Linked DNA regions of Arabidopsis thaliana. The protein of the gene in region 1 interacts with the protein of each later gene in a pairwise test. Each region holds a gene or a part of one and is shown on either strand. Other genes may lie near its edges. The genes, in order: ZML2, CAO and ckl3.

Region 1 (7,435 bases):
AGGTATCAGGAGCGAATGTGGTTGTGCATGATCCAAAGGCAGGGACTACAGAAGGACTGGTGGTTGTCTCAGGCACATCGGATCAAGCTCACTTTGCTCAAAGCCTTCTTCATGCTTTTATTCTCTGTGGTCAATCTTGATTGCTCTCTTTTCAAAGTGTGTACAATTTTAACATGATAGTAAAAAAAAGCTCTTCTACAAATCCAAAAATCATAGGAAACAGTAAAGTACCTCTACAAATTGCTGTGGCAAAAACGTTGTCCATCTGTTCTTTAAACTGATACAACAATGTGCCTCAAACTTTGTGGTAATATATAATAATATCAAATTCCATTTGAGCAGAAACTGTCTACTAAACGTTAATCTGATGACCAAACTTCCTCTGGCGTAGTGCTATAGTTGGCTTACGCGGATCATTCCGTGCCACAATCTTAAGCGGATGGGCTTCTGTGTTGAAAACCCACTCGTCTAATGAAATAACAGATGAAGGCGAAAAGAGAAGATATAGATACTTAAGAGTCTCAGCTAAGAAGAAGCTTTGCATCTTGTTGTCTTTAGCACCTGTATTGACCTGAAAATGAAGAAGCAAACGTTAACAACGTGTTTCCGAAAGATGGAAAGGCCCACTCGAGGAGGGTATCTGATTGGTTAAGGTCAGCCCGGCTCGAAACTTACATCCTTCAAGCCTACATATCCAGATTCTACGCGAGAGTTCTTCTCAAATGCTTGAAATATATTCCATCCCCACTCTTGATATGTCTTGTTCCCAGTTAATCGCCAGAGGTAAAACAGTGATTCAACGGTTTCTGGTCTTAAAATGTTCCAAGATGTGCCAACACTCATGTCCTGAAACAATCATGTGCTTATGGATACGACATAACCAACCAACTAACATACAAACAGATGCGCAAAAAGTATTTACCAACCTGCCCTGCAGTGAAGAAATAGTTCTCTCCAGCAAGTTTCGTTGGTGTCGATTGGTAAAAGTTATAACAAGTCCAGGCAAGCTGCAGTAAAGTGAGGGAAACAGCAATAAGGACACAGCAGAAAGTTATACTCAACATACAATTGAGATTCTAAGGCACCTCTCCAGCAAGTGAAAGAAACTTTTTTTCTTCATCAGGGCCATAACCTGAAGCTCCTAAAGCCAACATTCCAGGAGCAAAGCACGCCAATTCATCCATCTGAATGTTGAAATTATGTCAAAACCAACAAAATTCTCAAAGTAGAGAGTTGAAATTAGAATAGTTTTTACCTTATCAATCAAATTATTTCCGTTCTTCTCACATATATACGTAAATGATGAAGGTGTTGATTTCTTGACCAAGCTTAACAAACCTTTCATTGATTTCTCCCACATATCTCTGATTCAATACATTAAGAAAGATTTAGTCCTTATCCTTTATTGCTGATATTGAATTACTTGGGTGTATATACACAGCGTCGAGCTTTACTTACCTATAGGGTTTCACGGCAGATGTTTTGTTCCCTTGCACCCAAACTTTGAGCAAATACTCATAAAAGCTGTAAAACCAAATTATTATTAAAAGTTAGAGAGCAAAGTCATGGTCACAAGACCCGACCAACACAAAATGAAAATTTGGAGGAAGAAACTACCTATCTCCCATGGCACCAAATGTTGTGGTAGAGTACGATGGATTAGCATTATCCGGATTTATATAGATGGGAAGTAAACCATCAGCAGGAAAGTTCTTATTCAGTTCTGTAATAACCTTCTCTACCTGAGAGACATGAGTTAGCAAACGTGTCAATCTTGAGCAGCCAATATTTTCTTCAGCATTAATGCAGATTGATTGCCCACTTTTTCACACCGAGTTAGGATATAAAGAAAATCTGTTGGACAAACTCAAAATTAGTATCTACCTTCTGCTGATATTTTGGGTCCCCTGTCCTTTGGGAAAGGGCAATAAACTCGAGCTGCTCAGTGCCGGAGTCTGCGAGAATACTGTCTCCCTAGTAAAACAAAAAAAAAGTGTAGCAATCAGTAAAACTGACACAGCACATGTCCTCAATGAAACTGAAACATATCTAAACCTGATCACACTTGGTACTCATTTCAAAGACACTGCATATGATTGCTAGTGAATATATAGTTAGTTAAGAAACTATAGCTACCATAAACTCTAAACGTAACACCTGTTTAAAAGTCTAGACCCCAAACAAGAATGTTAATTGTTGCATACAGAGAAACCATAACTTGGCTGTTTCTGCCGAGTCCAGATCTTAGTTTTTATACGGGGTTGAATCATCTAAGAAAGTGGTCAGAACTTGGATTTAAGCTATCAAATAGACTCTAAGGAGTCCTTTAGAAACATAATCAGGAACCTAAGTCAACTACAGAACAAGTGCACAGAGTTTCAGGAGCCATTTTTTCTAGAAACGAATAAAGATTTGTATCCAATCATTGGATTCCAAGGTTAGGCTTTAAAAAGATCTACATGACACAAGATGACACAATACAACATACACGGCACTCAGTAATCTAGGACTCACCCCTGCCGCCCATGAAGGATTGTGAGCATTTCCATTTCTCAAGTTGATAATATTGTAAGGTATACCCGTTGGAGTATTCCATGCAGGCAATAATCTGTCTGCAATATCCTTAGCCTTTTCAAGGAACATTTTGTCCCCAGAAAGATCATACGCACTAAGAAGTCCGCCTACAACTCTGAAGGCAGATAAAGAAAAAGAATATAAGCAGATGCAATATCCGTTCCCCATCTTATGTCACCAACTGATAATCGCAAATAAACTGACTCTTCCTACGATAATTACAGAAAACAACCACAGTAAACCTGTTAAAGCCACCTTATGGTTGTCTCAAACATACTGGCGTCATAATCCTTGTCGAAATCCAATGAGCTTGCAACCCACCTGCAAATAAAAGACAATAAGCAAATGAAGATTAGCAAAGATGAAGAAGTAAAAAGTTGGATTTGCAACTGGGACGAAAACAGTTACATATGAATAAATGAAGAGCCTGCAATTACTCACTCTCTGGCTTTTTGAAACTGCTCATCTAGACCCATTATATAGAGTGTATCTAAAGAATCTACCATAGTTGCTCCAAGGCCACCAAAGCTATCAGTGCCATCTTTTGTCCGAGGCTGACAATAAAAAAAGGAAAGAAACAAGAATAGCTTCAGACCAATATTTTTTTTGCAGAGTTCAGGAAGAAAATAATCTTAGTTCTTAACAAAATCTTTGTAGGCCTGGTAACTTCAGATAAGCTCATAATAAAAGGCTCAACAGGATACTGGAAGAGCAGGCACTAAACGTCAAAATAAAATTTGATTCATAGAGTCCGTCGTAAACTAGATTTCGTATTCACAAGGGTGAAATGTATTTTGGAAAATAATTGTATACCTGAAGCTCATCTTTCCCCCATGCATACTTTTCATAAGAGCTCCAAGCATGGATCATTGCCTCTTTTACTTTCTGCCTTCGCTGTTTATCAACTGGATCTTCTGGGGCATCCTTCAGAGTCTTCAAAGGCTTATTGCCAACACCACCATTAAGCTCTTCTAACTAGCGGAAAATATAGTTAGTTAGCTAAAACATTAGAAAGACTATCTGAGCCTAGAGTGAGGGGAAAATATTAATCTTACCATCTGCTCCAACCGTGAAACTTCTTCATTTAGCTTAAAAACTTCAACCTGCAAGACAAAAAAAAGCAGGACAAGTGAGAGAATGATCACAAGAGAAATTGTTCACTTCCTTGACATTTTTCTTATTTTGGTTACATAGCTTCTTATAAACGAATACATGAATTGAGTCCAGAAGATATTAATTACAGCTCTTTTCTAGTAAATAAAACACCAACTGTCTTACTTATAGACCTTGAGCTATGAAGGCAATCAAACCATTCCAGGCCTAAACCATATAACCTACTTCACCAAAATTCGAATTGGCCTACCAATAAGCTATGATACAAGAACTATCTCCTACTCCTAGGCAGAGTCTAACCAGATTTCATTAGACAAAACATACCTCATGTTCTCGGGCAAGATTAATACGATCCCAGACAAGCATAGAAACAGAGACGAAGACAATGAAAAGCAAAGCCAAACGTCTCGGTCTTCTAAGATAATACGCAGGATTCAAATATTTCCATATCCCATAACCACTAATCGATCTACTTCTCGCCATCTCTCTTCTCAACCCACTCAACAAAAACAGAGACCAATTGAGAAATCAGTGTCCATGAAACAGAGCAAGACAAAAGTTAAAAGCTTTTAAATTTCTGATCCGAAAAGAGTAAGAAACCGAGAGAGAAATAAGTCTCTCAAAGAACAAAAGTTATAGATCCGATTTTAGTAGTTAGAAGGAGGAAGACGAAGAAAGAATTAAAAAACGAAACTTTACCCAAAAACCAAAAGAAAAGTATTTATTTATATCTCCGGCACTTTTGCTTATTTATTCTTTTGATGATAAAATAATCAATCGAGTCTCTTTAGCCCCCACTGGTTCGTCTCTTTCTTCGATTTCTCTTTCTATCTGGTTTCCATTTTCGTCTCGTTGGTGTTCTGGTGGGTTTGGTTTGTCTCTGTTCTTCTATTTGTGGCGTTATCCATCGGTTCAATTGTCATCTTCATCGTTTCCGTCGTGTTATTTGGTGTTTCTCGTTTGGGTCTTTCGAACATCTTTCATTCTTCTCTTTTTGGTGTTGCTCCCCACGAACAGGTAACATCATCTTAACTCTTATATTGGTTTCGTGTGTCGTAATGAGGAACCTATATTTCAATGGTTTTGGATGTCGCTTTGTTTCAGGATTTGCTTTTGTTTCTTAGGGTTTATTTTGTTTGTTGAAATTATAAGTGAGTTTGTGGAATTGGTATAATATGGTTTATGTAAGGCTTAGAGCGTGGAAATATTGAAACTTTGGATTGAATCTGATTGATGCAAATATGTTAGAAGTCTGTGTTAATCTCTTGAAAACAAGCATTGATCCATAAGGTTTCCTGAATTTATGTATAGTGTTAGTTAGAACTTATATGTAAGTTGCTCCAATGACCGAGGAAGTAAGGTTATATAGTATGTGAATCATGTTTTGCTTAGAGCTGATTTGATTTGTCTGGTCATCCATGAATCGTGCTTATGAAGATTAGGTGTTTTTGTTTGAAGTTTCCAGTTTTAATGTTAATTTGTTTTACTTTCACTGTTATCATTAGGTAGATTGATGAAAAGCAACCATGGATGACCTACATGGAAGCAATGCTCGAATGCACATTAGAGAAGCTCAAGATCCAATGCATGTGCAATTTGAACATCATGCTTTGCATCACATCCACAATGGAAGCGGTATGGTTGATGACCAGGCTGATGATGGCAATGCTGGTGGGATGAGTGAGGGTGTGGAAACAGACATTCCTTCTCACCCTGGAAATGTAACTGACAATCGTGGTGAAGTGGTCGACCGTGGTAGTGAACAAGGAGATCAGTTAACATTGTCTTTTCAGGGCCAAGTCTACGTTTTTGACAGTGTCTTGCCTGAGAAGGTGAGTTAAGTTGTTACTGAGTTGGTTCGTTGATTGTCTCATTCCATTAGAATTTATATTCTTACTCCAAGCCACATTTTAGCAAGTGGTTGAAGGATCTAGTTAGCTTTGAGTTTTTTCCATCTATTGATTCTAATGTGTGAGTGCCTCTTGCTATTCGACGCCTGTTGCAGGTTCAAGCTGTGCTTCTATTATTGGGTGGTCGTGAATTACCTCAGGCAGCCCCTCCTGGCCTAGGATCACCTCATCAGAACAACAGAGTATCGGTAATAAAATATATGATGGCATTTATGGGACATAAGTTCCCTTCCTTGATACATTGCTTGACTGACTGACTGACTAATCAATGAAACAGAGTTTACCTGGTACTCCTCAAAGGTTTAGTATTCCGCAGCGATTAGCTTCTTTGGTCAGATTTCGAGAGAAACGGAAAGGAAGGAATTTTGATAAGAAGATTCGGTATACAGTCCGCAAGGAGGTAGCTTTGAGGTACATTGATGTCTAAATCAACAACTTGGTCTAGTTATACTTCTTTTATGGTTGCTCTCCCAAAATTAAGGTTCGCATCTTGATTACTTTTTGTTTTCTGGTATACAGGATGCAACGCAATAAAGGTCAGTTCACATCTGCCAAGTCAAACAATGATGAAGCTGCATCTGCTGGATCTAGCTGGGGGTCGAATCAAACCTGGGCCATAGAAAGTAGTGAGGCTCAGCATCAAGAGATCTCGTAAGTTTAGAAATGCTTTGAAAGTAAACTGCGAGTTCCTGACATACTTTTTAACTTGAACCAACTTAACGTAGTTATTATGGGTTTGCTAAGCAACTTTAGAAGTTGTTTTTGCTTCCAACCTAATGTAGCATCTGACTTAGTTATTAAACTGAACCATCCTAATGTAGAGATGATAGGTTTATTAAGCATCTTAGATGTTGTTTTTGGTTTCAGAAACGTTGTAGAGGTACTAGAACTCTGAAACCTATCAATGATTCAATATCAAGACATACACATTGCATATGTAATATTTAACATGAGCATGGACCTATACGAATTGGTAACATTGAAGGACCAATACAGACAAAATATTATATAAAAGCTCTTCCATGCCTGAAGCAAAATGACTTCTGTGATAGATGATTGGTTAAGACAGGTTGTGATGACTAATATTGTATCCTGGAACTGAGAATTTTTATAATAACTTTGGAATAGACAATTGTCGTTTAAGTCTTTGTAGATTTGAGTTTTTCTTCTTGATAGCCTTACTTTAGTTGGTAAGAACATATCTGATTTTACTTCCTCTGAATGGCTTGATACCTGTAAGATGTCGGCACTGTGGAATTGGCGAGAAGTCAACTCCAATGATGCGACGTGGACCTGCCGGGCCAAGAACACTTTGCAATGCATGTGGACTTATGTGGGCAAACAAGGCAAGACAATACTTGCTTCTTAATTTGATCAACTCTCTTTATCTTGCTCATTTTGTAGCACTAGTGATTCGATGATTAGTCTGTCTAAATGAGGACGACATTTATACTTTCAGGGTGCTTTTAGGGACTTATCCAAAGCCTCTCCTCAAACAGCCCAGAATCTTCCTTTAAATAAGAATGAAGTAAGCAACATCATGTTTTGACCAAACAATTTGTTGTACGAAAAGGAATCCATTCGTCTTTATCATAACTTGTGCATGTCTGATCTATCTTTGCAGGATGCAAATCTTGAGACTGATCATCAAATAATGATAACAGTGGCCAATGACATAAGCAACTCACAGTGAGGACATGTTGGCTCTTGCCATTACAAGCAAGAGAAAGATCCCAACAGAGTTTGAATCGCCTCAGGTTCTGTAGCTTTATCATTCCCTTTGAAAGAATCTGACTCGATTTAGGTTATCAGGATTTGATCTATGACAATGTAATCTG
Region 2 (7,435 bases), on another chromosome or scaffold:
CTTACAGCTTACAAGATAATTAAGAACCAAATCACTTTTTTTGGTTAAAACAAATCATAATGTTAGAGGCTAGAGATACTTATGATGTTACCATGCACTTTCCCCTTAATAACTAGCTCACTTAATTACAGTAATACCATACAGTAATATCTACTTGATGTGCCTATTGAGTCATCGATCCAATGAACTTATTCACTGCTTCAATTTTATGAAATATCATTATTTTAACGTAAACATCATTACTAGTGTTTTTATCATCAAATTACCGATTTAGTGTAAGTAAATCGAATCAGTTTTTAAATACTGTTGGACACATATATACATAGACATGCCAATTACTCAAGTATCATGTTGGTTTGCATATACTCTAGTTTTAATCAGGGTTTATATTATTTCAATTTAAGTAAACGCATGCTAAATGATAGATCATGAAATAGAATTAGGGTATCCATTGTTTAATGAAATGAATCGTTGAACTGGTATAACATGCAAAAAGATAATGTATCCACTATGTAAGCATTATAAGGTGCCGCTATAACAAAAATATCCACATGGTCAAGACTGAAACGTCGCATTATCAAACAATATTACATGCTCAATTGTTAAATTTTCTAGCCAAATTAATAATATCGTCATGGAGGAAAAAAAATAGAGTTGAATAATTGGCAATGATCATAATGGATATGGGTTTCTCAAAAACGCAATCATATATCGTGCGACAAGGTTACAGTAATATAGATATCATGCTTATTCCAAAACGACGACTAAAACGTAAAAGATTACAGAACTAGTAAACGAGTATATAATGTTAGGGAATGTTCTTTAATTTATAATCTAGCTAGTATAAATCACATATCCTATTTCATATGCGAGATATGAACAACAAAGTAGTATACTTAATTGAATCAATAATAATCCAAATTAAATTTATATGGTTTAGATCATAGAGAACCTAAATATCTAAAACTAACAAAGTCTAAACCACCTCGATTAATTGGGAATAGGATGATAATATAAAGTCTAGATTTTGTTTTAGTTCAAAAATCGAAACAAAATCTTACTGTAATTAACTTACTACGTTCCCTTACTGAAGATTGATCACCACACGGTAAAAAAAACACCGTTAAAAGGTTAAACCAAAAATATTGCTAAGAAGACATTATTTGGTTAGTTGAATGAAAAATTAGGGAATGGGAAGTGTGAAACCTACCTAAAATATGGCTATGTAGATGATATTCATTGAAGAGAGAGAGAATATAGAAGTGTAAAAAGAGAAAATGGTGCCAGCTATGAATTAGAAGGATCAAAGCTTTCTCTGAAGCTGTCATCTATCTCTCTCTTTCCTTATAGTGCTCTGTTTCTCTCCACATTCACACACTCTCCCTCTCTCTCTCCATTATTAAATCACTTGTTGTTGTCTTTCTTTTTTCAAACCTTGGAAGCAAGGAATTCTTTTTTGATGATTTAATCGAAAGCTTCTTCCTCCAAACAAACATCAATGGCGGTTTATCCTAACGTTAATGGCGATAAGAAGCACTGGTGGTTCACTCACAGAAAGGTATAAGCGATCTCTAACCTGGAAATACAGTTCTTGATTCAAAGATCATCATCAATCATGTTAACTTTTTTTGGGTTTTCTCAGCTTGTTGATAAGTATATAAAGGATGCAACAACTTTAATGGCAAGTGAGGAGGCAAACGACGTCGCTTCAGCTCTTCATTTACTAGACGCAGCCTTATCTATCTCCCCGCGTTTGGAAACTGCGTTAGAGCTCAAGGCTAGATCTCTCCTCTTCCTCCGTCGTTTCAAGGATGTCGCCGATATGCTTCAGGATTATATCCCCAGTCTTAAACTCGACGACGAAGGATCCGCTTCTTCTCAAGGCTCTTCTTCCTCCGACGGTATCAACCTTCTCTCCGACGCCTCTTCCCCTGGCTCCTTTAAATGCTTCTCTGTTTCCGACTTGAAGAAGAAAGTCATGGCAGGCATTTGTAAAAAATGCGACAAAGAAGGGCAATGGAGGTAATATAACTTTTAACTCTCTTTTTTGTTTTACTTATTACTTTCAAGCAAAACGCAATCGTTGATTTTTAAACGCTGTTTCAGGTATGTGGTGTTGGGTCAAGCTTGTTGCCATCTAGGACTAATGGAGGATGCCATGGTTCTCCTACAAACCGGTAAACGCCTCGCCTCCGCCGAGTTCCGTCGCCGGAGTATTTGCTGGTCCGACGATAGCTTCCTTCTCCTCTCCGAATCCTCCTCTGCTTCTTCTCCACCACCCGAGAGCGAGAACTTCACCCATCTCCTCGCTCACATCAAGCTTCTTCTCCGTCGTCGCGCCGCTGCAATCGCCGCTCTCGACGCTGGACTGTTCTCCGAGTCGATCCGTCACTTCTCCAAGATCGTCGATGGCCGTCGCCCTGCGCCTCAAGGATTCCTCGCCGAATGCTACATGCATCGAGCCGCCGCTTATAGATCCGCCGGTAGAATCGCGGAAGCGATCGCCGATTGCAATAAAACCCTAGCTCTTGAACCCTCGTGTATCCAGGCGTTAGAAACCAGAGCCGCGCTTCTAGAAACGGTCAGGTGTTTTCCAGATTCGCTTCACGATCTAGAACACTTGAAGCTTCTCTACAACACCATTTTACGCGATCGGAAGCTTCCGGGTCCGGTGTGGAAGCGGCACAACGTGAAATACAGAGAGATTCCTGGGAAATTGTGCGTTTTGACAACGAAAACGCAGAAACTTAAGCAGAAAATCGCAAACGGAGAAACTGGGAATGTCGATTATTACGGCTTGATCGGAGTCAGACGCGGATGCACCAGATCGGAGCTCGATCGAGCTCATCTATTGCTATGTCTCAGATACAAACCCGATAGAGCCTCTTCTTTCATCGAACGGTGCGAGTTCACCGATCAAAACGACGTCGATTCGGTTAGAGATCGAGCCAAAATGTCGTCTCTGTTGCTTTACCGTTTGATTCAGAAAGGATACACCGCCGTGACAGCGATCATAGCCGAGGAGCAGAGGAAGAACGCCATTGCTCACGCTCAAAAGATTGAAGAACGCAAACCGGTTGAAAAATCCGGTTCTATTAAGAGAACCGGAAACGCTGAAACGAAACCGGTAAATTCCAATGCGTACCAAGGAGTATTCTGTAGAGATCTCGCTGCGGTTGGGAATCTACTAACCAGGGCTGGTTTCAACCATCCAATCCCGGTTAAATACGAAGCGCTCACCTGCTAAAAAATATTGAACCGAATTTTTTATCCTACCATGTCAGCCACTGGAAACGTCGTCGTTTCCGTAGATTCGTCTTCGGACAGAAAAACAAATCATTCAGCCGTCAAAAAAGAAAATAAAATAAGAAAATATATATACATTTGATGTATGAATACAAATGAAACAATGTATTTAGGTTTGGAAGATTATTCCAACTACAAGAAAATTTTGTCACTTTACTTTTATCTTCAATGTTCGTCTCCTTTGTTTCTTCTTCATCTTCATGTGCATATAAAACGACAGAAGCTTGATTTGCACGTAAATTAAAATACTAGTATCAAAACTTTTTTTTTCATTTTATTATCAAAATTATCTCTTAAGCTATTGAGCACTAATTTATTTTTTATTATTGAGTTCTCGAGATTTGCCTAGAAATAGTCGATGAGTCTGGCTCACGTCAGTAATATTCGGATGAGTCCTTATCTATAAAGTTTGGCTGCCATTTGATGGTATTGGGATGATTAATTTAATTAGGCAAATAAAATATAGATGGTGAAAACTAAATAAAAACTATTCACTTGCTGTATAATAATGTTAATACTCATATCATGTAAATCACTGAAGTGCAAATTCAAAAAAAAAAAAAAAAAAAAATGGTCTGCTTGCCATTTAAAGATGTTTAAAGATGGAGTAAGTATATATACACAAGTCGTAAAATCAAACACAAATAATATATTGACAAACTCATATATCATAATGTATACATACCAATTTAAATCCACAAGAAAATATCATATGAATGAGAAAACCAACCACATTTACAATTTTACTCATATTTATTTTATTGTTTTATATTTTTCTTTTCTTTTTGATGAGAATGTCTTAACACAATTATCTAGTATATAAAGATTTTTTCCAAAAAATAGAAGAACCTGTTGATTTTCTAAAAGTAGAAGAAAATAAGTGCAGTCCATAAAATAAAATCCTATAAAAATGTTAAAACTAGATTCTTTTTTAAAAAACTAAAATTTGCTGCAGACATCTAAAATTTTCGAAAATGATTGGGTGGCTAAGATTTCTTATCCACTAGAAAATCCAGTGAGTCCCGTTAACTCTCTTCTCTTCTCTAGTCTTGTCTTCTATTATGCAAAAGGTCTTCTTGGCCATGGATACTTGTGCTCTAGTAATCCATCAGTCTCTGTCTCGCATCAAACTTTCTCCTCCCAAATCTTCTTCTTCTTCTTCTTCTGCTTTCTCCCCTGAATCCTTACCGATCAGACGGATCGAGCTGTGTTTCCGAGGAGCTATATGTGCCGCCGTACAAAGAAACTACGAAGAAACGACCTCCTCCGTGGAAGAGGCAGAGGAAGATGATGAGTCATCATCATCGTACGGAGAAGTGAACAAGATCATTGGAAGCCGAACGGCGGGGGAAGGAGCCATGGAGTACCTTATCGAGTGGAAGGACGGCCATTCTCCGTCGTGGGTTCCATCGAGCTACATCGCAGCAGACGTAGTGTCGGAGTACGAGACACCCTGGTGGACGGCAGCTAGAAAAGCCGACGAGCAGGCCCTGTCACAGCTCCTGGAGGACCGAGACGTCGATGCCGTGGACGAAAACGGCCGGACGGCTCTGCTTTTCGTGGCAGGTCTGGGGTCGGACAAGTGCGTAAGGCTTCTGGCGGAGGCTGGAGCCGATCTCGACCACCGAGACATGAGGGGAGGCTTGACGGCGCTGCACATGGCGGCTGGTTACGTGAGGCCGGAGGTGGTGGAGGCGCTGGTGGAGCTGGGAGCTGATATTGAAGTGGAAGACGAGAGAGGGTTAACGGCGTTGGAACTAGCGAGGGAGATTCTGAAGACGACGCCGAAGGGGAATCCGATGCAGTTCGGGAGGAGAATTGGGTTAGAGAAAGTGATCAATGTCCTGGAAGGACAAGTGTTCGAGTACGCCGAGGTGGATGAGATCGTAGAGAAACGAGGGAAAGGCAAAGACGTTGAATATCTGGTCAGATGGAAGGACGGTGGAGATTGCGAGTGGGTGAAAGGTGTACACGTGGCGGAAGATGTGGCTAAGGACTACGAGGATGGGCTGGAGTACGCTGTAGCGGAGAGTGTGATCGGGAAGAGGGTGGGAGACGATGGGAAGACCATCGAGTATCTTGTCAAATGGACTGATATGTCTGATGCCACTTGGGAGCCTCAGGACAATGTCGACTCTACTCTTGTTCTACTCTACCAACAACAACAACCAATGAATGAATGATTGATTTTGATGATTACATTCTTCTCAATTTGCTTCTTTCTCATATGTGTTGGTTCATCTGACCGGTTCGGTTGGTACGTACCGGTACATTTTCATTTTCTTTTAAGATGTGATCTTGATGGTTTTTGGCCTTTTGGGGACACTATTTGATTTTATATCCATGCTTTGAATTTTGCTTCCCTTTTTGGGGAGATTCATGATGCTGGCTGACTTGCTCTTTATCGTCCCAGGTTTAGAGAATACATCGTCTTAGGCTTTTCTTTATCTCAAAACCCATTTACATTTAATTGGGCCTATATATTTCATATAGGAAGAGAGTACATGTAAACCCAATACACAACTTTTATTTATGGGTCCGTTTCTTGTAACATTTGTTGGTGATAAAAACAACTTCTGAAGAGTGATAATGTACAACTGCACTTTGCGATTAAGGAAATTATAGAAAGATACAAAGTCTGAATAAATGACTAGAAAATATGAATAAGTAGTATCCATTCTTCTCTAATTCAACATCATTTTTTTTTTTTTTTTTTTTTGACGATATTCGATGCATTGTGTCTATATGAGAGAAATTTTGGTTTGTCAGTTAATGGCTAGACTTTTATTATTATGAGCATCTAGATTTTCAGTGCATGTGATGTTACGTTGATGATGGACATAAGGAGACAAAAAGGACGGAGTTGATTTAGTACACATTTTCGTTTCTTTGTGAATACAACGATCGCCTATTTTTCGTTTGTAATTTTCCTCTTAATTCGAGAGGGGCCTCTAGTCATGTGTGTTACTTCTAGTTATAGTGACATGAACGGATGAGAAAAGTTTCTTTTTGTAAACAACATGCGTACGTAAATCAACCAAATATATTTAGTATAACAACCAAATTACTGTTGGACAACCAACCAAACAACAATTATGTAGATTATAGATTAGAGAAAACAAGGAACTAGGTCGATTAACCGCGACCACATTAGCCAAGTCCTCCAGTCGATTAATATAAATTGATGCCAAATATATTAGTTTTCACTGGGTTTTATATTATACTATCAGACCACAGAAGACATCACGTCACAGTTAACAACACTACATATTTCAGATTTTGTATGAAACGTAACTAGGTTTATATATGAGACCTTTTAACCAATTAAATGATAGTGATATGGTTTGTAACATTGTATTGTATGTATTTTAGTTGATGTGTGTGGTTGGTAAGGTATAAATTAGCTAGTGTTACGAAAAATGACTTCTTGCTTTTTCTTTCAAATTGAACGACGCTCTATTTCACTTAAATAAAACCACATTTAGTTATTTCAATGACAACATACTAAGTTTTTTCTTACATAAATTAAAAAGTAATTTTGGTTTCAGTCCAAATTTTTCTAGTTATAGGAAAGAAAATGAAAGAGTTGCTTTCAAAATATTGAATCCATTGTATTTAATTTTGAATATTGAATAGTATGTACTAAAGTCTTTTCTTTAGTAGACCAATCTAAATACGAACGAAAGTACCAAAACCATACGAAACGGCAAATAATGACATGTGGGGAACACGTAGTTAGATGAGCAGTAAATGGGAAACATATTTTGATGGTTGTCCTCATATTTTCGTGTATCGAGTTAGATAAGGAAACCTGTGAAAATTTATTTCTCAAAAGATTCCGTAAGATTCCGTCGAATATAATTGATATTTCAGTATTTTGGACTGGCAGCGAATATGGCAGACTATACAGATTGATCGTCTTCCGGCGTTGTTATAGACATTAACAAACTTTAACTACTCGTTTGCTTAATTAGGACCATCTGATGACTTTATTCTAAGTTCAAATTTAGATGACCTCTCTTTCTTGAACATATACTTGTTACATACTTAATTCATTGTGTTATTGCAATAAGTGAATTGTGTGGTTATCACTAACACGCTGACGTAAATTTACACGTGTTTATATGAA
Region 3 (7,435 bases), on another chromosome or scaffold:
CAAAGACGGTCTTGATGTTGGCTGATCAAATGGTATGGCATGAGTTTTAATCACATTTATTGCGTCTGGTTCTGTTTAAATACTAATCATTTCTCTTGAGTTATACATTTATCATCTAATGTGCTTATGATTTTCTTATTCCGATTTTACAGCTAACTAGAATAGAATATGTACATTCCAAAGGATATCTGCATAGAGATATAAAACCAGATAACTTTCTCATGGGCCTAGGCCGCAAAGCGAATCAGGTTTATCTAATTGACTTTGGACTGGCCAAAAGATATCGTGATGCCAACACCAACCGCCACATCCCTTATAGGTATTTGTGGCCATGGTTCATTATATTGTGTCTACCATCTGGAGGTGGTAAATTATCTTATCTGTTATAAGTTTTTAAGGTCACATTATACAACTTATTACCTTTTATTTGGTTGTATTCAGGGAAAACAAGAATTTAACAGGAACTGCACGATATGCAAGTTGCAATACACATCTTGGTATTGGTAAGGAATGCTGCCACTTTTTTCTCCCCTTTGTGAAGTAAAGTTTTTGCTCACATATTTCGATTTCTCTTTCGCAGAGCAAGGTAGACGGGATGACCTAGAGTCTCTTGGATATGTGCTTCTGTACTTCTTAAGAGGAAGGTGTGTTGACTTTTTGACTTGAAAGAACCTAGTTAACATTGTGTTTTTGGCAGGGTATTGTTTTTCCTTGTTTGAGATTTACTTAACCGTTTTCTTGCTTTACATTTTGTTCCTATTTTAATGAACCTCCTTTTCTAGCCTTCCATGGCAGGGTCTTAAGGCTGTTGACAAGAAGCAAAAGTATGACAAAATTTGTGAGAAGAAGATATCAACTCCTATTGAGGTCTATTTCCCTCTACTGTGTGAGTGAATTGTTTTTTGTTAATCCTCATTCAACTGAATAATATCCCATCCTTTGTAGGTTCTATGCAAAAGCCACCCCGTGGAGTTTGCTTCATATTTTCATTATTGCCACACACTGACATTTGATCAACGCCCTGATTATGGATTCTTGAAGCGGCTTTTTCGTGATTTATTCTCACGGGAAGGTACTTTGAGAAAGACATCCCTCCATCATTTTTATAATCCTCTCTGCTAGCATCAGTTATCTACCTAGCTCACTTAAACGTTTTCTTCTTTGCAGGATATGAGTTTGACTATATATATGACTGGACTATTATAAAGTATCAGCAATCACAGAAAACTAGAAGTCAGTCTCAGGTATAGTTTATCAATACCATTTGTTATTTTTTTTTCTCCAGGTGTATGCATATTTTGTCTTGTTCATAGAGAAGATTTCCTGGGGAGAAGTTTTACTTGGTTTTGCTATTTTTTAGTTTTGGTGCTAAATATAGATATGCCTGTCTTCCTAACAATAAACTGTCATGCTGCAGGCCGTTCCTGGGTCTAGTAATGCTCGTGCAATACCAATGGACACAAGCAATCATCGAGGTCAGCTCGAGTTATAAATTTTAATTGTGTCACTTTCTGATTAATTTTGTAATAGTATATGATGTGTTTTTTGTTTTCTCTCGACTTTCACACTGGACTCAACTGGCATAGAGTGTTTGGCTGATTTAGTTTCCCGTTGCAACTGTTTATTTCAATATCTTGATGCTAACTCTCCGTTTGGCAGGAGGAACTAAGATTTCACATGAAGCCCAAGTCTCTGACCGTGTCAGACCGGCTAATGCCAGTGGTCCAAGCCCACAGATTAATACCGCTGTAGGGAGGAGTCTGGGTTTTGATCAAGTCCACAAGAATGTACGTGCTTATTCATTTGCCTCTTCCAAATAAATGTTGTATCCTGCAACCCTCCCCCTTGTGTTAGCATCTCATGCCTGCATCTGTGTTGCTTCAGAGTTCTGCATGGTTCTCTGCTTAAAGCTTTTACCTGTTTTGCATGGTCAATTGTCATCAACGAGCTCTATATTGTGATATGAACTACATATAGCATAAATGATTAAAACACGATACTGATCATCACGAAATATGCTCTTGACCATTATTTTACTGAAAACCCATTGCAGATGAACATGCCATCATCCACTTCATTATCTCCTGCGGGTACCTCAAAAAGAAATGTCAGACCCGAAACCTCAAATTCTGGGTTTGGGAGCGGGAATAAAACCGGCGGTTGGACTTCACCATTCATGTCACCGGGGAAATGATGCAAAAAAAGTTGGAGTATATCATTCATCTGATCTGCTGAGCAAGATTATGTGTGCCTTTGGGTCTAAACTGTGATTTCTGCAGTGAAAAGCTCTAGACTGAGGTTGAAGATCTGAATGGAGTTTTTCCATGAACAGCTTACTGTTTGACAAAAGGCATGAAGATTATGTTTGCTTTCCTTCAAGATTCTCACAAATGACTGACTTCAACCTTTGTATAAAATCTTGCAACCGGGCGTGTAATTTGGTTCTTGTGATTCATTCTCCCAAGTTTTCTTCTATAAAACTTTGTTCGTATTTCTGTACGTAGTTCCCTGTGTTGGGGCATAACCTGGGTTTGCTGTGTCATCAACATTGTTTGCAGAAAATCAAGAGCAAAGCATGAGCAGCTTCAGCAGAGATGCCTTCAAAGGCTTGAGTCAAGAGTTGCTTGTGGCAGGGACATGTCACCATCAAGCTAATGTGCAGCTGACGAGAACGTAAAAGGATAAGCTATGGCTAGCTTCTGGAATGCTCCGAGAAACACTTCCCCCTTTTTTTTTCTCTGAATTTCCTATTCAGTTTAATGGTATTCTGTGTTTGATTTTTCTTACTCGATTTTGTGCATTGAAAAAAATTATATCAAAAAGCTTGACTTGATCCAAACATGCATTTTCAATTGCTATTATTAAAAAAAAAAAACGTATAAAATTGTAGTCTCAATATTGAAATACAAACACCTAGAATTGATCGATTTGGTAGAGAACTAGTTAGTGGATTAAATTTGGGTTGGCTGATTTTCGAGCCATAAACTATTTCGATTCTCAGCTTTCACACCCGGACTTTTGGGCCTTTAAATTTCCACCATCAACTTTCATATTCCCAAAATTACATCATCTATTTTTGGATTCATGCTTAAACATACATTTCCAATTGAACCATTCATTTAACCGGGATTAACCACAAATCCGCGTTTACTGTACCGCGATTGCGATTAACCCAACTAATACCCAGACCCGTTAAGAAAACGACGTCGTTTTCATTTCGTTTAACTCATCAAAAAGAGAAAGAAAACGACGTCGTTTTCATTCTTCTTCTTTAACTCTCAAATCGATTTAGTCGTTCTTCTTTAATCTCGACACTGTGAAATTAGGGTTCTTGAGAGAGAAAGACAAAAGGGGATTTGGGGTTTTCTTCTTCGGTTCGAATTTTTGGGTCTCGATTTGGGTTTCGAATAGGGAGAAATGAAGAATTGGTGGGAGGAAAGATTGATTTACCAAAGCGATCCAGATGACCCCGATTTCGAACCTCCAGAGAGTGACATTGAAGCCGACGATGGAAGTGATAGTGGTGATAGCGGAGTCGAGGAGGACGAAGCCACCAGAATCGAGGGAGAGGACGTCGGGATAGATGGAGACAGAGCTTCTGATGGAGAGGAAAATAGAGAAGACGATGGTGACATAGCGTCTGATGGAGACGTCAATCTAGAAGACGATGGAGACAGAGATGAAAGTCAAAAGAAGAGGACTACCAAATCGATTTGAGAGTTAAAGAAGAAGAATGAAAACGACGTCGTTTTCTTAACGGGTCTGGGTATTAGTCGGGTTAATCACAATCGCGGTACAGTAAACGCGGATTTGTGGTTAATCCCGGTTAAATGAATGGTTCAATTGAAAATGTATGTTTAATCATGAATTCGAAAGTAGATGATGTAATTTTGAGGAATATGAAAATTGATGGTGGAAATTTAAGGGCCCAAAAATCCGGGAGTGAAAACTAAGAATCGAAATAGTTTATGACTCGAAAATCAGCCAACCCATTAAATTTTCGAACCTTCATCATTTTGCAGACCCCAAAAACGGAAATCATCAAATCATCCACCGTGCCAGCGTGACATTACAAAATCACGTAAATACCCTCGTGTTTGTTTATAAGGTAAAAAAAGATTGGCGGACCCAAAATGGTGCAGTAGTTAGGTGTACAAATTTTTTTTTGAAGGATCACTACTACGGCTCAAACAAGCCTGGGTCCATGTCACTACCACCGATGTCAGTCAAACAAAAATAATAATATATGTTTTTAAGTTCCTCTAATTTCAATCTTCTAAACAACAACCCTAAATCCTTATCTCTATCCTTGCGCTTGATCCAGATTCGGTTCTGATTGGAGCTGCCATGGAACGCATCATCGGCGGCAAGTACAAGCTCGGACGGAAGATCGGCGGTGGTTCGTTCGGAGAGATTTTTCTAGGTTTTGTGTTCTCCTCTGTTCTTGTCCCTTTGGTTTTCCGAGTTTGCTTTTTTATTTGAAATTGACGCTCTTCTCTTCTGTTTGTTGTTTTCGCAGCTACGCACGTCGATACCTTCGAGATCGTAGCTGTTAAGATCGTAAGTCCCAGCTCAATTTGCCTTGAGACGAATTGAATCCATCCAATCTGGAGATTTGATTTGGATCTGCTATGTCTCTTAATTGATTTTGTTTGAATTGCTTTACTCTAAAATTGAGCAAGGTTTTAAACTCGGTGCTTTTTAGCTGCAATATATTCTTCAAGCTAACACTTGTTTTTAATTCAATCATTTTCTCTTGCAGGAGAACAGTAAAACAAAGCATCCTCAACTTCTCTATGAAGCTAAGCTATATAGAATTCTTGAAGGAGGAAGTATGATTCTCTTTCCTCTCTTTTCTCAGTTGTTGGACATTGGAGGGATTCATTAGCAGTACAATACTAATTTTTATGTTATGTGTCAGGTGGAATTCCGCGCATAAAATGGTTTGGAGTTGATGGAACAGAGAATGCTTTAGTGATGGATTTGCTCGGTCCAAGTCTCGAAGATCTTTTCGTCTACTGTGGGAGGAAATTCTCACCAAAGACAGTCTTGATGTTGGCTGATCAAATGGTATGGCATGACTTTCAACTATTCATTAGGCTATTTATAATATCTGTTGACTTATACATTGATTATCTAATGTGCTTCCGATTTTCTTATCCCGCTGTTACAGCTAACAAGAATAGAATTTGTACATTCGAAAGGATATCTGCATAGAGATATTAAACCCGATAACTTCCTCATGGGCCTAGGTCGGAAAGCAAATCAGGTATATTTCTGCAACTTCTTATCTTCATCAGATGCCATAAGTAGAGTATGGTATGATTGATAAGTCTCATTTTTCAGGTTTATCTAATTGACTTTGGACTTGCCAAAAGATATCGGGATGCCAACACCAACCGCCACATCCCTTACAGGTATTGTGGCCTTGGTTCAATATACAGATTGTAAATGATCTATCTGTTTTTAAGTTTTACGGTCACGTTAATCATTATACAACTTATTTCCTTTATTCGGCTATATTCAGGGAAAACAAGAATTTAACAGGAACTGCACGATATGCAAGTTGCAATACACATCTTGGAATTGGTAAGAAATGCTGGCATTCTTTATCCTTATGTAAAAGTAAATCGCTTTTGCTCATATTTTGGGTTCTCTTCACAGAGCAAAGTCGACGGGATGATCTAGAATCGCTGGGATATGTGCTTCTGTATTTCCTAAGAGGAAGGTGTGTTGTCTTTTTGAAAGAAACTAGTTAACATTATGTTATTTCGCAGGGTATTTCTATTCCTTGTTTTTAGAGATTTACTTAACTGTTTTTTGTGTTCCTCATTTCATGAACGTCCTTTTCTAGTCTTCCATGGCAGGGTCTTAAGGCTGTTGACAAGAAGCAAAAGTATGATAAAATCTGTGAGAAGAAGATATCAACTCCCATTGAGGTATGTTTCCCTATTGTGTGATTGATTCTTTTTTTGTTAATCCTCATTCGACTAAGTATATATCGATATCCCATTGCAGGTGCTATGCAAAAATCACCCTGTGGAGTTTGCATCATATTTTCATTACTGCCATACACTGACATTTGATCAGCGCCCAGATTATGGATTCTTGAAGCGGCTTTTTCGTGATTTATTTTCGCGGGAAGGTAGGTACTTTGGATAAAGACATCTCTTCATCATTCATAGTTCACTCAGCTGATAAGGTTCACCGGCATCATCTACCTACCTCACTATTATATGTTCTCTTTTGCAGGATATGAGTTCGACTATATATTTGACTGGACTATCATAAAGTATCAACAAGCACAGAAATCTAGAAATCAGTCTCAGGTATAGTTTTCAATGTTTTCTCAATCTTAATTTGCTGCTGTGTCACCTTTCTTGTTACTAACAAAAAGTATTGTCATTTCTACTGCAGGCAGTTCCTGGGTCTAGCAATCCTCGTGCAATGCCAGTGGACACAAGCAATCATCGGGGTTAGCTCTAATTAATAGCTTGTTGTTGCAATTGTTTATTTTGAAATCTCTGTTTTCTGACGCTCTGTTTGGCAGGAGGACCAAATATTTCTTATGAAGCCGAGGCCTCTGAACGCGTCAGATCGGCTAATGCCATTGGTCCAAGCCCACAGATAAATAATAATACTGCTGCAGGGAGGACTCCGGGGTTTGATCACCCTGTCCACAAGAATGTACGTATTTCTGCATTTGCCTCTTCCAAAGAACCGTTTTATTCTGCAAACTCGTTGCTTGTGTTAGCATGTCATGTATAGTATTACTCTCAGAACACTTCATGGTTCCCTGAAAACTGATTTTACCAGTATCGCTTTGTCAATTGTCATGAATTAATGAAACAATATATTGATCTTCGAGATGAGTTCCCTTGACTGTTATTTTACTGAAAACCCATTGCAGATGAACATGCCATCCACTTCATTATCTCCTGCGGGTACCTCAAAAAGAAATGTCGGACCCGAAACCTCAAATTCTGGATATGGGAGTGGGAATAGAACTGGTTGGACTTCGTCATTCATGTCTCCAGAGAAATGATGCAAAGAAAATGTAGCTTTTTCCTGAAATGGTGAGTGAGATGATGCGCTGTTAATGTGACTCCGTGCCCTTAATTCACCTCTGAAACTACAGCAGAAATCAGAACTTGGTGTCACTAACACCTTTGTATCTCCTCCACCTTTGGCTGGAAGAAAGATGCAATGGTTTCTATGTAAATTCTCTGAAGTGTGTGTGGACAAGAAGGCGTTGGTTGAAGCATTTGTGTTTACACACACAAGACATGAAAGTGTATGTGTGCTTTTCATTCAAAGATTTCCCCCAACCTTTGTATAATTCTTACACCCGGATGTGTAATCTTGTTATGTGATTCATACATATCATTTTTAGCTACTCTTTGCTATGTGATCAATGACCTTTTGCTGCAGCTTG

The links.
Region 2: the proteins of ZML2 (region 1) and CAO interact in binary tests that used the Arabidopsis thaliana proteins (3 or more experiments, as listed by UniProt).
Region 3: the proteins of ZML2 (region 1) and ckl3 interact in binary tests that used the Arabidopsis thaliana proteins (3 or more experiments, as listed by UniProt).

What each region holds. Positions count from the first base shown.
Region 1 is NC_003070.9:19,127,963-19,135,397, forward strand, and holds the start of ZML2 (ZIM-LIKE 2), read left to right. Parts: upstream 1-4,258; 5' UTR 4,259-4,704; intron 4,705-5,192; 5' UTR 5,193-5,213; coding exon 5,214-5,519; intron 5,520-5,692; coding exon 5,693-5,785; intron 5,786-5,874; coding exon 5,875-6,008; intron 6,009-6,116; coding exon 6,117-6,248; intron 6,249-6,837; coding exon 6,838-6,943; intron 6,944-7,056; coding exon 7,057-7,125; intron 7,126-7,221; coding exon 7,222-7,290; 3' UTR 7,291-7,435. Other genes in the region: AT1G51580 (RNA-binding KH domain-containing protein), read left to right, coding at 3-140; MNS1 (alpha-mannosidase 1), read right to left, coding at 353-571, 676-846, 927-1,007, 1,086-1,184, 1,256-1,364, 1,459-1,524, 1,618-1,742, 1,885-1,974 and 6 more. UniProt on the Arabidopsis thaliana protein: Transcriptional activator that specifically binds 5'-GATA-3' or 5'-GAT-3' motifs within gene promoters.
Region 2 is NC_003071.7:19,468,414-19,475,848, forward strand, and holds CAO (chloroplast signal recognition particle component (CAO)), read left to right. Parts: upstream 1-4,159; 5' UTR 4,160-4,367; coding exon 4,368-5,489; 3' UTR 5,490-5,974; downstream 5,975-7,435. Other genes in the region: AT2G47440 (Tetratricopeptide repeat (TPR)-like superfamily protein), read left to right, coding at 1,499-1,558, 1,643-2,022, 2,107-3,247.
Region 3 is NC_003075.7:14,247,004-14,254,438, forward strand, and holds the start of ckl3 (casein kinase I-like 3), read left to right. Parts: upstream 1-4,131; 5' UTR 4,132-4,347; coding exon 4,348-4,423; intron 4,424-4,519; coding exon 4,520-4,560; intron 4,561-4,762; coding exon 4,763-4,832; intron 4,833-4,921; coding exon 4,922-5,070; intron 5,071-5,173; coding exon 5,174-5,269; intron 5,270-5,346; coding exon 5,347-5,417; intron 5,418-5,527; coding exon 5,528-5,589; intron 5,590-5,664; coding exon 5,665-5,728; intron 5,729-5,854; coding exon 5,855-5,939; intron 5,940-6,018; coding exon 6,019-6,145; intron 6,146-6,252; coding exon 6,253-6,329; intron 6,330-6,417; coding exon 6,418-6,475; intron 6,476-6,550; coding exon 6,551-6,687; intron 6,688-6,910; coding exon 6,911-7,045; 3' UTR 7,046-7,435. Other genes in the region: ckl4 (casein kinase I-like 4), read left to right, coding at 1-32, 153-319, 442-503, 581-644, 783-867, 946-1,072, 1,168-1,244, 1,418-1,475 and 2 more; AT4G28870 (mutator transposase MUDRA protein), read left to right, coding at 3,418-3,717. UniProt on the Arabidopsis thaliana protein: Protein kinase involved in blue light responses (e.g. hypocotyl elongation and flowering) by phosphorylating CRY2 to reduce its stability.